Linked DNA regions of Schizosaccharomyces pombe. The protein of the gene in region 1 interacts with the protein of each later gene in a biochemical or structural test. Each region holds a gene or a part of one and is shown on either strand. Other genes may lie near its edges. The genes, in order: byr4 and plo1.

What was found.
Region 2: of the proteins of byr4 (region 1) and plo1, one has a biochemical effect on the other in vitro, tested with the Schizosaccharomyces pombe proteins (one study listed by BioGRID).

What each region holds. Positions count from the first base shown.
Region 1 is NC_003424.3:961,625-966,514, reverse strand, and holds byr4 (two-component GAP Byr4), read left to right. Parts: upstream 1-1,706; 5' UTR 1,707-2,080; coding exon 2,081-4,078; 3' UTR 4,079-4,201; downstream 4,202-4,890. Other genes in the region: hem13 (coproporphyrinogen III oxidase), read right to left, coding at 1-85; poly(A)site selection protein Seb1, read right to left, coding at 4,402-4,890. UniProt on the Schizosaccharomyces pombe protein: Has an essential role in ensuring cytokinesis and septation occur only once during mitosis. It does so by interacting with the ras1 signaling pathways, thereby suppressing them.
Region 2 is NC_003424.3:2,162,059-2,167,365, reverse strand, and holds plo1 (Polo kinase Plo1), read right to left. Parts: upstream 3,136-5,307; 5' UTR 3,127-3,135; coding exon 1,075-3,126; 3' UTR 601-1,074; downstream 1-600. Other genes in the region: putative potassium ion transporter Mdm28, read right to left, coding at 1-64, 121-160; Clr6 histone deacetylase complex subunit Pst2, read right to left, coding at 3,443-5,307.

The DNA.
Region 1 (4,890 bases):
CGAGACCAGCAACAATTTCTTGCTGAACATCGAGAATAAGCTTCTCCATCTGCTTGCCAATAGGCTCAACGGTAATGTCAGACATCTTTTTATTTACTTTACGGATTTGCTCAAAATGTCCAAAAAAAAAAGTAACCAAAATGGTATTTAAGATATGATACAACCGATTGGATGAATTGGTATTAACACAAGTGAAGAATCAAAACACTGTTCAACTTGCGAATTAAATTTACAACTTGGTTGTTTTGTTTTCACAAAAACACTGTGCCAGCAGCGAATGGGATTAGGGGGATTTATATCAAAAAATAGACTAAATTCAGATATTTAAAAATCGAACGATTTCTGGACAGTCACGACCGTAATGGCTCGTTTTTCTCGTAAGGTTAAGAACACAATCCGGATTCCACGATCTGAGTGTTTCGTTACTGCACCTTGTAGTGCGATATATAGATTCCTTCGATGGAAAACAATTATTAGTTTTATATGAATTTGATTAGGATGATGTTAAACATCCTTTTCTTTGACTTATTATTAGACTATCTGAAAAATGGAGTTACTTCTCGTCTATGAGAAATGTTTGTAAGTTGCTTCGCTACTAGCAAGCAATAATGTTTTTAACTGCTTGGTTTACAGAAAAGCACAAGAGTATAAGACAGATGCCATGCTTACTTTTTCAACTTGTTCGATTTACCATTTCTTAAGTACAAACATTAATAAGATCATCAACCTATATTTTTTATGAACTTTACATGAATAATTACATGATTAAATCACTGAAATTATATGAAACTATAGACAGAATTGATGCTAAAAATAATTTAGGAAAAATATGAATAGCGCGATCGCATAGGGGTAAAAACATGATTATGTTTCATACTTGGATTTACTAATGAAGAACGGTTTCTCATACCTATGAATTGAAGAGTTAATTTGTTCAACTTTACCATTGTTGATTTCAATAACTTTTTAGATGTAAAAAAATAAACTAAAATAAAACAAAGACGTTTCTTTTGTTATAAACTAATAGATTTACTTTTTAACCTATAGTTTAATCGTTTTTTTTTTTTTTTTTTTTTGTAATTTATCTAAACTCGTATATGAAAATAGTATGTATTTTAGAAATTATACGAAGAATCTAATAAAAAAAGATTCCTTAAAATGTATTTCATATATACTTGAACGAATATGTAGATTCCATAAACAGAATTAAATTGTAAATGGGCATAAATTTCAGAGAAAGCAATTGTTTATAATAATTTAAACGTTCAAAGAAAAATATATATATTTTCGTGGAGGAAAATAAAATTCTAAGACGAATGAATTTGCTAATACGAGTGACGATTAAACATACTATTTATTGCTTCACCTACTAACCTTCGTTGTAATTTATCTACTTTTTAAAAAACATTAACTCGTAGTTGCATGCTAATTAGATTACCTAGATTTTTTTAAGGTGAGGTGCAGCTATGCATTTTGGCAATCACATATGGTTAAGTATTTTACTATGATTAATCTAGCAAAAATAAATATGACTGAAAGATACCAAAAAAAACTATTTTTTTTTTAGGTTTACACAAGCAAATAGTAGATGCTTTATTTTTCACCTTATTAAAAATTGATTTCTCGTAAAGTACTGAAACCAAAGTACGTAAATTGATCAAGTTGGTGTTTACACTTATACCTCTAGCTCAACCTCCGTCTCTTTCAACAATATACCGCTAACCCAGATTCCTTGATTTTGTCATTGAAATAAGTTAAATTCTTTTTTTTGCTTTCTATACAAAACAAAATTTCATTGTATCTCTGAAAGCATCATCATAATCATATTCCTGAAGTCCTTTTGAATTGCTGTTCATAACTTATTACTTCTCGAAGCTGGGTTTGAAAGCGTAAATATTTACAGTGGTTACTTCTTTGCAAAATTAGTGACCATCCTTTTTCTCTCTCACTTTCTTTTTCTTTGAAAATCAAATTTAGGGTTTTCAGTTTTGGGTGAATACGGTTAGTAATCATTCTATGCGTTTTGCATCCAATTTCTTTTCTTAGCAAAGCCGTTTTAGTATACGTTTATTTTGATTGAATGACTGAAGTTGAATGCTGGGACGATGATCCTGATTTTGCTTCCGACGTCGATAATGCTAGCCTATTTACTCAATCCATAGCTACCACTAGTGCTAGTACGAGTGTGGATGATGGGTTCTCGTTTGACGACTCTATTAGTCGTCTTAATAGCCTTTCAATTTCTGATGTACCAAGCGCTCATTCTCGTGTCGAACAATGGAATCAACAAGTACATAATTTAAACCATGAACTGTCTTCCAACAAGAACCGAATTTCTTCCAATGTAGAAGGCTATGAAGATGATTTTTCGTTCGATGAAGAAGGTGAAGAAGGTAATAATGAGTTTAATACACTTCGTCCCAATAAATACCAAGATGCCGATGTTGATGAATTCAATACTATTAGAGCATCTGAAACTGCTTCTCAAAGACCTCCAATTCCATTCTCTAGTGATACTCTTAAGAAAACATATCTTTCAAGTGAAAATGATGCTCGGTATCCCAGTGTTTCGGACTCCCCTTATTGTGAATCGGAAGGCTTTTCTTCATTTGAAGATGATTTTGAAATAGACCCAGATACCGACCTAAACAGTATTTTGCACAGAAAACAAAATAGGATGGATCCAAAAGCTTCCTTTTCCAGCGTAGAACAGTCTTCGCTTCGTACGCCTTCCTCTGCGCATAATGACGACGGCTTTTGGGATGATTTTGATATTGACTTTAATAACGAAACAGAATCGATCTTTCGGAAAAAGATTCGATCTCCAAATACCATCAACCAAAAGCATCCTTATATTTCCTCCACAATTTCTTATCAACCTAATGTGCATCAGGATGCAAAATATTATCCCCTTTGTAAAGACATATTTCCTTCACTCGCTAATGAAAACCCTCATTCTGATAACCCAAACCTAAAGTATTCTTCGAAAACACTTTCGAAAAGGGATACGTCTTCTCATTATCCAGAAACGTTGAAGGCTTCGAGTAAACATTCTTCTCCCGTGAAGGGAAATTCTTCTATAAGCTCCACATGGACTCCCTCGAATTTGAAGATCTATCATTCGAAAAATTCGATGGGTTTGATGGATTTGGACGCTTTGAAGACAGTTGCAAGTAATTCTAAATACAGAACAAAGCCTAAAAATTGCAAGACTTACGGAGATGGTACAGAACTTGATACTTTAGATGAATTACCAGTTGATTATGAATTTGAGCTTAAATTGAGAAAAAAGCAAACTACCAAAGTTTCCGGAACGCCTAAAAGTAAACACGCAGGTTCAACTCAAGAATGGCATTCACATACTACCCCTAGATCTACTTCGAAACATGAGAATAATTTAAATAATATAACTAATTCAGCAAAAAATGAGCATATTCGGTCTCAAAGGCAACACAAAACTCATGCCGCCCCTTCTAAAGAGTTAACAAAAGAATCGCTTTCCAATGATCAATTGAGCGTCAAAGAAAAACGCAGACACCATAAAAAGGCACCTACTTTAATACAAAATTTAAATTCCCCTAGAACCCCAAAAATTGTTGGAAAAATGCGATATAATCCCACAAAACATTGCTGGGAAGGAAACGATTATGCAATTAGAGATTTTGATACCCCTATCTCGCCTAGCCGTCCAGCATTAATTTCCAACATTTCTACAAAAAAAGGAATCCAGGTTGTCGGAAATATGGTATATGACCCTACAAGGTTACGATGGATTGATAATTCGATTTCTGGTCAAGAAGCGGAAGATCCCTTTAGCGGGTTTGATGATCTTGAGGATACAGACTCCACCTCGCAGTACTTGAACGAAAATTCAGGTAGCTTTAATGGTAGCATAAACTCAATAATCAATTTTCCAGATATGAGTGAAATATACGATGTCGGCCCAGAGTTTGAAAAAAAGCAATTTAGCGAAGATATTCAATGGCGAAAGAGAATTGATGGCTGGTTTTTTTCATTTAAAAACGATGACAGGTCACGACTATGGGAGCTTTATAATATACTTAATGCCGAACAATAAACAAGGTTTTGTCTTTACCTTGCGAATGTTTATATATAATTATACGAATGCTTTTGTTTATCGCAGATTTGATCTTTTTGTACATAGCTTAATACACTTCGAAGATTTTTCATTTTGTTTGCAAATAGATGTATAAGATGTACAACAATGATACAAATGTAATACTAATGTGACACCCAGACAAACTAGATTGTTTGAACAAGACAATACAAAGAAAATAATCAATTAAATTTGGACCGAATACATTATACCCTTAAATACCGTCTGTAATATAGAAACCATTTTTGCCATCATTATAATACTTGTAAGCGTCTTTTAACACATTATTGGGGTTGCCAAGGAGGTTGTGAGACATACCCAGAAGAGTAATTAGGATCCATATATGGATAGCCGGGATTATATGGGTTGGTAGGGGGAGGAACGGTACTAGGATTACCATGCCAGTCATTTCCTGAATCAAAATGCCTTTCACCATGGTGAATGGGTGGACCTCCCCTATATGGTTTACGACCCCGGAATCGCTCATCACGACGCATAGCAAAATCTTTTCCTCTTTTACTAATTGCCTTAGAACTTATTCCTAATCCAATTTCAATATCAGGTTCATCCAAAGCGATACCAGGAGTAATCGGAAGGCCACCCGTGCCGCCATATTCTGCAGTTACAAGCCAGGTACGATCGGCATCCGTCAACAAACGGATTGGGATAACGCTGATTCCTGTGGAAAAGTCAGAGCACTCTCGAGGTCCAAATCCTACACCCCATTTAGTACGAATAGTAGTATCAGCAAAAGGGACATTTTCCATCGCTAC
Region 2 (5,307 bases), 1.2 Mb from region 1:
CTTCTAATAGGTTGGTTCCTGATTGTAATTCCCGTCGCCGGAGCGCCTAACCTCCATTGAAAGCCTACAAAACGTTAGTACAAATTGAAGAGCAATTTGAAAAAGCATTAATATCCTTACCAGTCTGATGTGGGGTTTTAAACAAACGATTCCGAAGCATACTGGGGAATTGGATATGCGTTCTTGGATACTTCATCAATTTGACTCGGCTTGTTTATGAAATAGTAAAGAGATTTAACGCATGCTACGCAAAGCTTCATATTCGTTAAACTAATTAGTGTATTGTCCGTTAGGTAATTTCCTCAATCGCTATTAACATAGCATAGCGTAGGTAGAGAAAGCATTTTATTTACTAATTATGTATTGCTGGAATTAGTTTATAAGTACTTTAAAAGCAAACAGTTCTTTTATCGCATCAGCCTATTTATTATAAAAATGTTCCTGCTATTTGGATTCAACGTGACAGTTGCTAGTAAAAACCAGTACTATTGCTCTTTTGATATACTTAGTGAAGTATAAATTAATGCCTTGTAAACAATAAATAATGCTACTATTAATTAATTTAATTTGGTGTTACAAAGTCTGTGATTCTTAATATGCAGCAGATTGAACTCAACTGTACACATTTTACTGACATAATTAGCAAAACATGTATCTAATCTGTGAAAAGGATTTCAGTTACAGCGAGAGAATAAAAATCAATTAACATAGCTGTGACTAGTCTAACATTTTGGATAACACTTGGAACATTGAGATTTGTGAATCCTTTTGATTAGATAAATAAGTGTCGCCTTAAGACAGAATTTGCAGCGATCAATTTAAAAGCAAAAAATAAAAAATTTTGAAAAGGGATTAAGCTGATATTTGCAGCTATAATTTAAGTTTATAACTTATTCGTCAAGAGCTCCTGCGTTTAAAAGATGTATCTGAGGGAAAGAAATAATAAAAAAAGAATTAGTAAAACATTAACATAAAACTGAATTGAATGGATGAATAGTACAAAAATGAGGATGTGAAATATGGAAAAATAGACAGCATAGTAACTTAACGCCCAAGTATAGATTAACGGTATTATTAACTCACTTCCATTTTCGACGCCCACGATTCCAACGTCTCGCGAATATACTTTAAGCGAGATCTCAAGTCTTCTGAAAATGCGGATGCTTCTTGCAAAGGCAATTCCACTCTCTCTCGCTCTTTATCTAATACAATGATCTTCCGTGCGGTAGAGGAAATAACAACTTTTCGATGATCCAGGAAATTGAACTGAAAAATTCCGTTACTTAATCTAAACATTATAGCTTGACGCGTACGAAGATAATGCTGCATGAAAAGCATGGTATTGGAAGTTGAGTTTTTGGGTTTTTCAAAACTCTCATCCTGCACAGCCTTCGAAAGATTTTGTCCCATATAGCTTTTAAAGTGCTTTAAAAGCTGAAGTTTACTTCTTATAGATTCAGGAACTTTGGAAGCAGGATAAATATATGGCTTAATTTCTGTATCTTTAGGATGTAAAGCATACTCGACAACCTCCTCATCAGCTGAAAAAAGCAAGGATGTATCATCATTAAAGTGTACGCCAACCGATTCATCGGATAGCTGGTATCCTAAACCATATTTGTTGGAATAATCAACCCACTTTGTAATAAAAAGAACGGGCTCAGAGTCAGCATCCTCTGAAGTTAAAGCGTGTGTATGTGCTTCCAATGCCATCCCGATTTTAAGAGCTGTCTTCTTTACGCTGATCCAAATGTCTGATTTCATATTTCCAACCTTAGAAAGTCTTGAAACTGTATTTGCAGATAAAGACCGAATTAATTGAATAGGTTCAACTTGTTCAGTGACAGCGCTCTTAGTTGGAACAAATGATTGTGATTCTTCTCTCAAAACTTTAACTCTTGAGCCTAAACTTCCATCAGTGGATTTACGAGCTGCATGGAGGGCTGTAGAGAGCTTTGATGGTACAGGTTTGGTTTCCGGTCCTATTTTCATAACAGGGTTGACACGGTCCCTTGGACTTAAAACACTTGGTAATATTCGATCATTATCAACTTCATCTGTTCGAAGTGCATAAGGTTTATTCTTTTCTACACCTGCTGAATTTCCAAAGCCTACTCCGGAAGCAGAGGCAACGAAGTCCAGGTTTCTCTGAAAGCTTGATTTTGATTGGGAAGAAGGCCATATAGGCATTGAATGTAAAATTTCATCTGGAAGTGTAGAAGCCATATAGCCAGTGTGAAAGAATTCATGGTCAACAATATCGTCAATACTGGGACGAATGCTTGGATCATGTGTCAGAAGAGAAGAAATTAAATCTTTTGCTTCTGCAGATATGTCGACATTTGAAGGAAAACTATATGAGTTGGCTTTTATCTTCCTATAAATTGTCTTTACCTCTTTATCCTGGAAGGGTGGCTTTCCAATCAAGAGGGCATACATGACTACTCCAGCACTCCAAAGATCAACTTCAAATGAATGTCCTTCTTTTGAATTGAACAAAATTTCAGGTGCGATGTAGTTCGGTGTACCACAGATAGTCATTTTACGTTCTTCGTCATCCATTAAAAGCGCGGCAAGCCCAAAATCACCAATTTTTACATTGTTACTCTCATCAAGCATAATATTTCCAAGCTTTAAATCTCTATGAATGACTCTCTTTTTATGCATATATTTCAAAGCTCCCAAAATTTGCATCATTAAATACCGAACCTCTGGCTCAGTTAATTGTTTTCGCTTACGTAAAAGTTCCATTAAAGATTTATGTTCACAAAGCTCCAAAATTAAGTAAATATTCGTCGAATCTTCAAAACAATCTATAAATCCTACGATGTTTGGATGACTCATGGATTGGTGCACCTTTATTTCTCCAAAGAGCTTCAGCTTTGTTTTATCATTTTGTAGTGACCTTTTAGCAATAACTTTAGCAGCGTAAATATTTCCATAATTATCTTTGACTCGAAAACATCTCGCAAAGCCGCCTTCACCAATGCAATCGTAGCGAGTGTAGAATATATTTTTTTTATTATTATGAAGATTAGTTGGCGGAGTAAAGCAAAGACGAGAGGCTTTGGACTTCTTCTTCGGGGTTATAGCAGTTTTGGGCTCTTTAATTGCAACACTCGCCATTTGGTATTTGTTTCTAACAAAACGCAGGTGGTAACTTTTGAGGGTAAACAAAGTGGTTGCTACGACAACCGCTTGTTTGTAAATAAAAATCTGTGCATTGTAATATTTTATGTAGTAATTACAGAAGTACGGCTTTAGAAAATTTAATACAAAGCTTATGTGCAAAAATTTCAGTAAATTCGTACTATACATAAATCCTTGAAATTATAAAATACCTAGAAAGATAAGTTATGTTAACAAAGTAATATAAAACTATTAAAGTCAAATTGTATTTAAGTAAATATGATCAATAGGTAGGTCGACTGCATTAAAATCATTATGGGATAAATAGTGCATTAATGTCAGCATCAAAATTCACCTCTGCCGTGTTGTCAGAAGTTCCCCTAACCGATTTTAATAACGATTCCCATCGATTTCTCCAACGCTGTTTTCTTTTATTCTGGCAATCAAGGAAGTCGGTATCTCTAAGGCGCAGGTAAGATGCATCTATGTAAGAATCTTCTGTGCGTGGTAAGTAGAGCAATTTAAACGAGTCTAAACATAATTTTGCTTGCAATCCGGAAACCAATTCTGCAGATCTTAATAACTTTGTTTGAAGGCGTGAAACCAATTGCTCAACTGTTCTTTCTTTCTCTATATTTCTGCAAAGAAAGGGACAACGATAATTTTTATAAGATATTTCTTCAGTAAGTTTTTGTATACGATAATTTTGAACATATTTTTTCCAAACTCGTCTCTGTGTATCCAAACTTTGATCCACAATAAGATTCGCTCGCTTCATTATTTTGATTCCAAATGATTTAAATTTGTTTATCCAACAAAATCGAAACAAAATTTCATCAGGATTCAAAAGCTTTTCAATTTCCAAGCGATAAAGAAAGTCATCATAATTCTTCTTAGGCGAAGCAGAACTATTTTGTTCGACTAAACTAGTAACGAATTTGTATTTTCCATCGGAAACGATGTGGTGGACTTGTTTAGCAGCAGACCAAACGAGTTTATCAATAGTATATATTTTATAGGCTTTATTGCCATAATAAAACCGCAGATAGTCCTCGAAGGCACTTTGATCAACTATCCCATATATTAATCGAAGAATCATCACATAAGTATTTTCGTAATGAGTTTTTTCATCAGGGACATCTGAAAGATCATTCCACCTATCGCGCCAAATCTTTTGTTTTTGAGATACTGGGTTTGGTATTATACGCTGTTGGATAATGGACACTTGATCCTCCAAACGCTGAAGCTCATAAAGCCTTTCGTATAATAAGTTAAAAAGTCTAAAAAATACGTACATAGAAGAATATCCAAACTGTTCTTTATCGACGTCGTCATGCATTTCATTCTCCGTATCACCAGCATGATCTTGATGTTCCAAAAGACTATCTGGATGACTTGGATATTTGAGACTGGCTTTAATGGCTGCAGCAGGTTGTGAAAGCTGTTTCTTAGAAACCGGCGTTACGTTTCCAGATTCATCACTTAAAGAGTTTTGAGAGTTAGATTGTGATTTGTTACCGGATTCTTCTTTTTTGCGAGCAGCTGCAGCTGAACGACTTTCGCGTTGACCATTGATTTTAGGTTGTTTTACAAATTCCGTCAACTGGGTTATAGAATTAGATCTTTTCCGACGTACAGGCTTGTTACCAACTATATTCGGGGCATTCACATCGTAATCAGGACCACGAAAAACTTGATCCAGGAATATCGAAAATTTATCCTTTTCAAGACCAAAATGTAAAGGCAATATATTCTTGAAAAAATGCTCAACTTTCTTTAAACCAGAGGGAGAGTTACATACAATGTATGTGCATACCATATAACAAGTATCAAAAAGTACTATTTCGTTGTCATATACAAAAGAAAATTCGAAAGCTGATCTACTTCGCAAAGGAAAATGGAGCTTCGCTTGCGATCGTAGAATGTCGGCTTCTGCTAAGAGAAACTTTGAAGATACATTCTTCTTATCTCTTGCCTTAAAATAAACGCATTGTGAATCTAAGCTCTTATCGTAATTTTTAAACTCAATACTTCGCCATCCAGGTTGAAGACTTCTTTTAACAGACTTCCACTCTTCGTTTTTTTCTTCTAATCTGCTGATTACCAATGGTAATGTGAGGCAAGGCATTCTTTCCAAGGCCTTAAACATTTCCTCTGCATGCTCACTGGTATAAACAA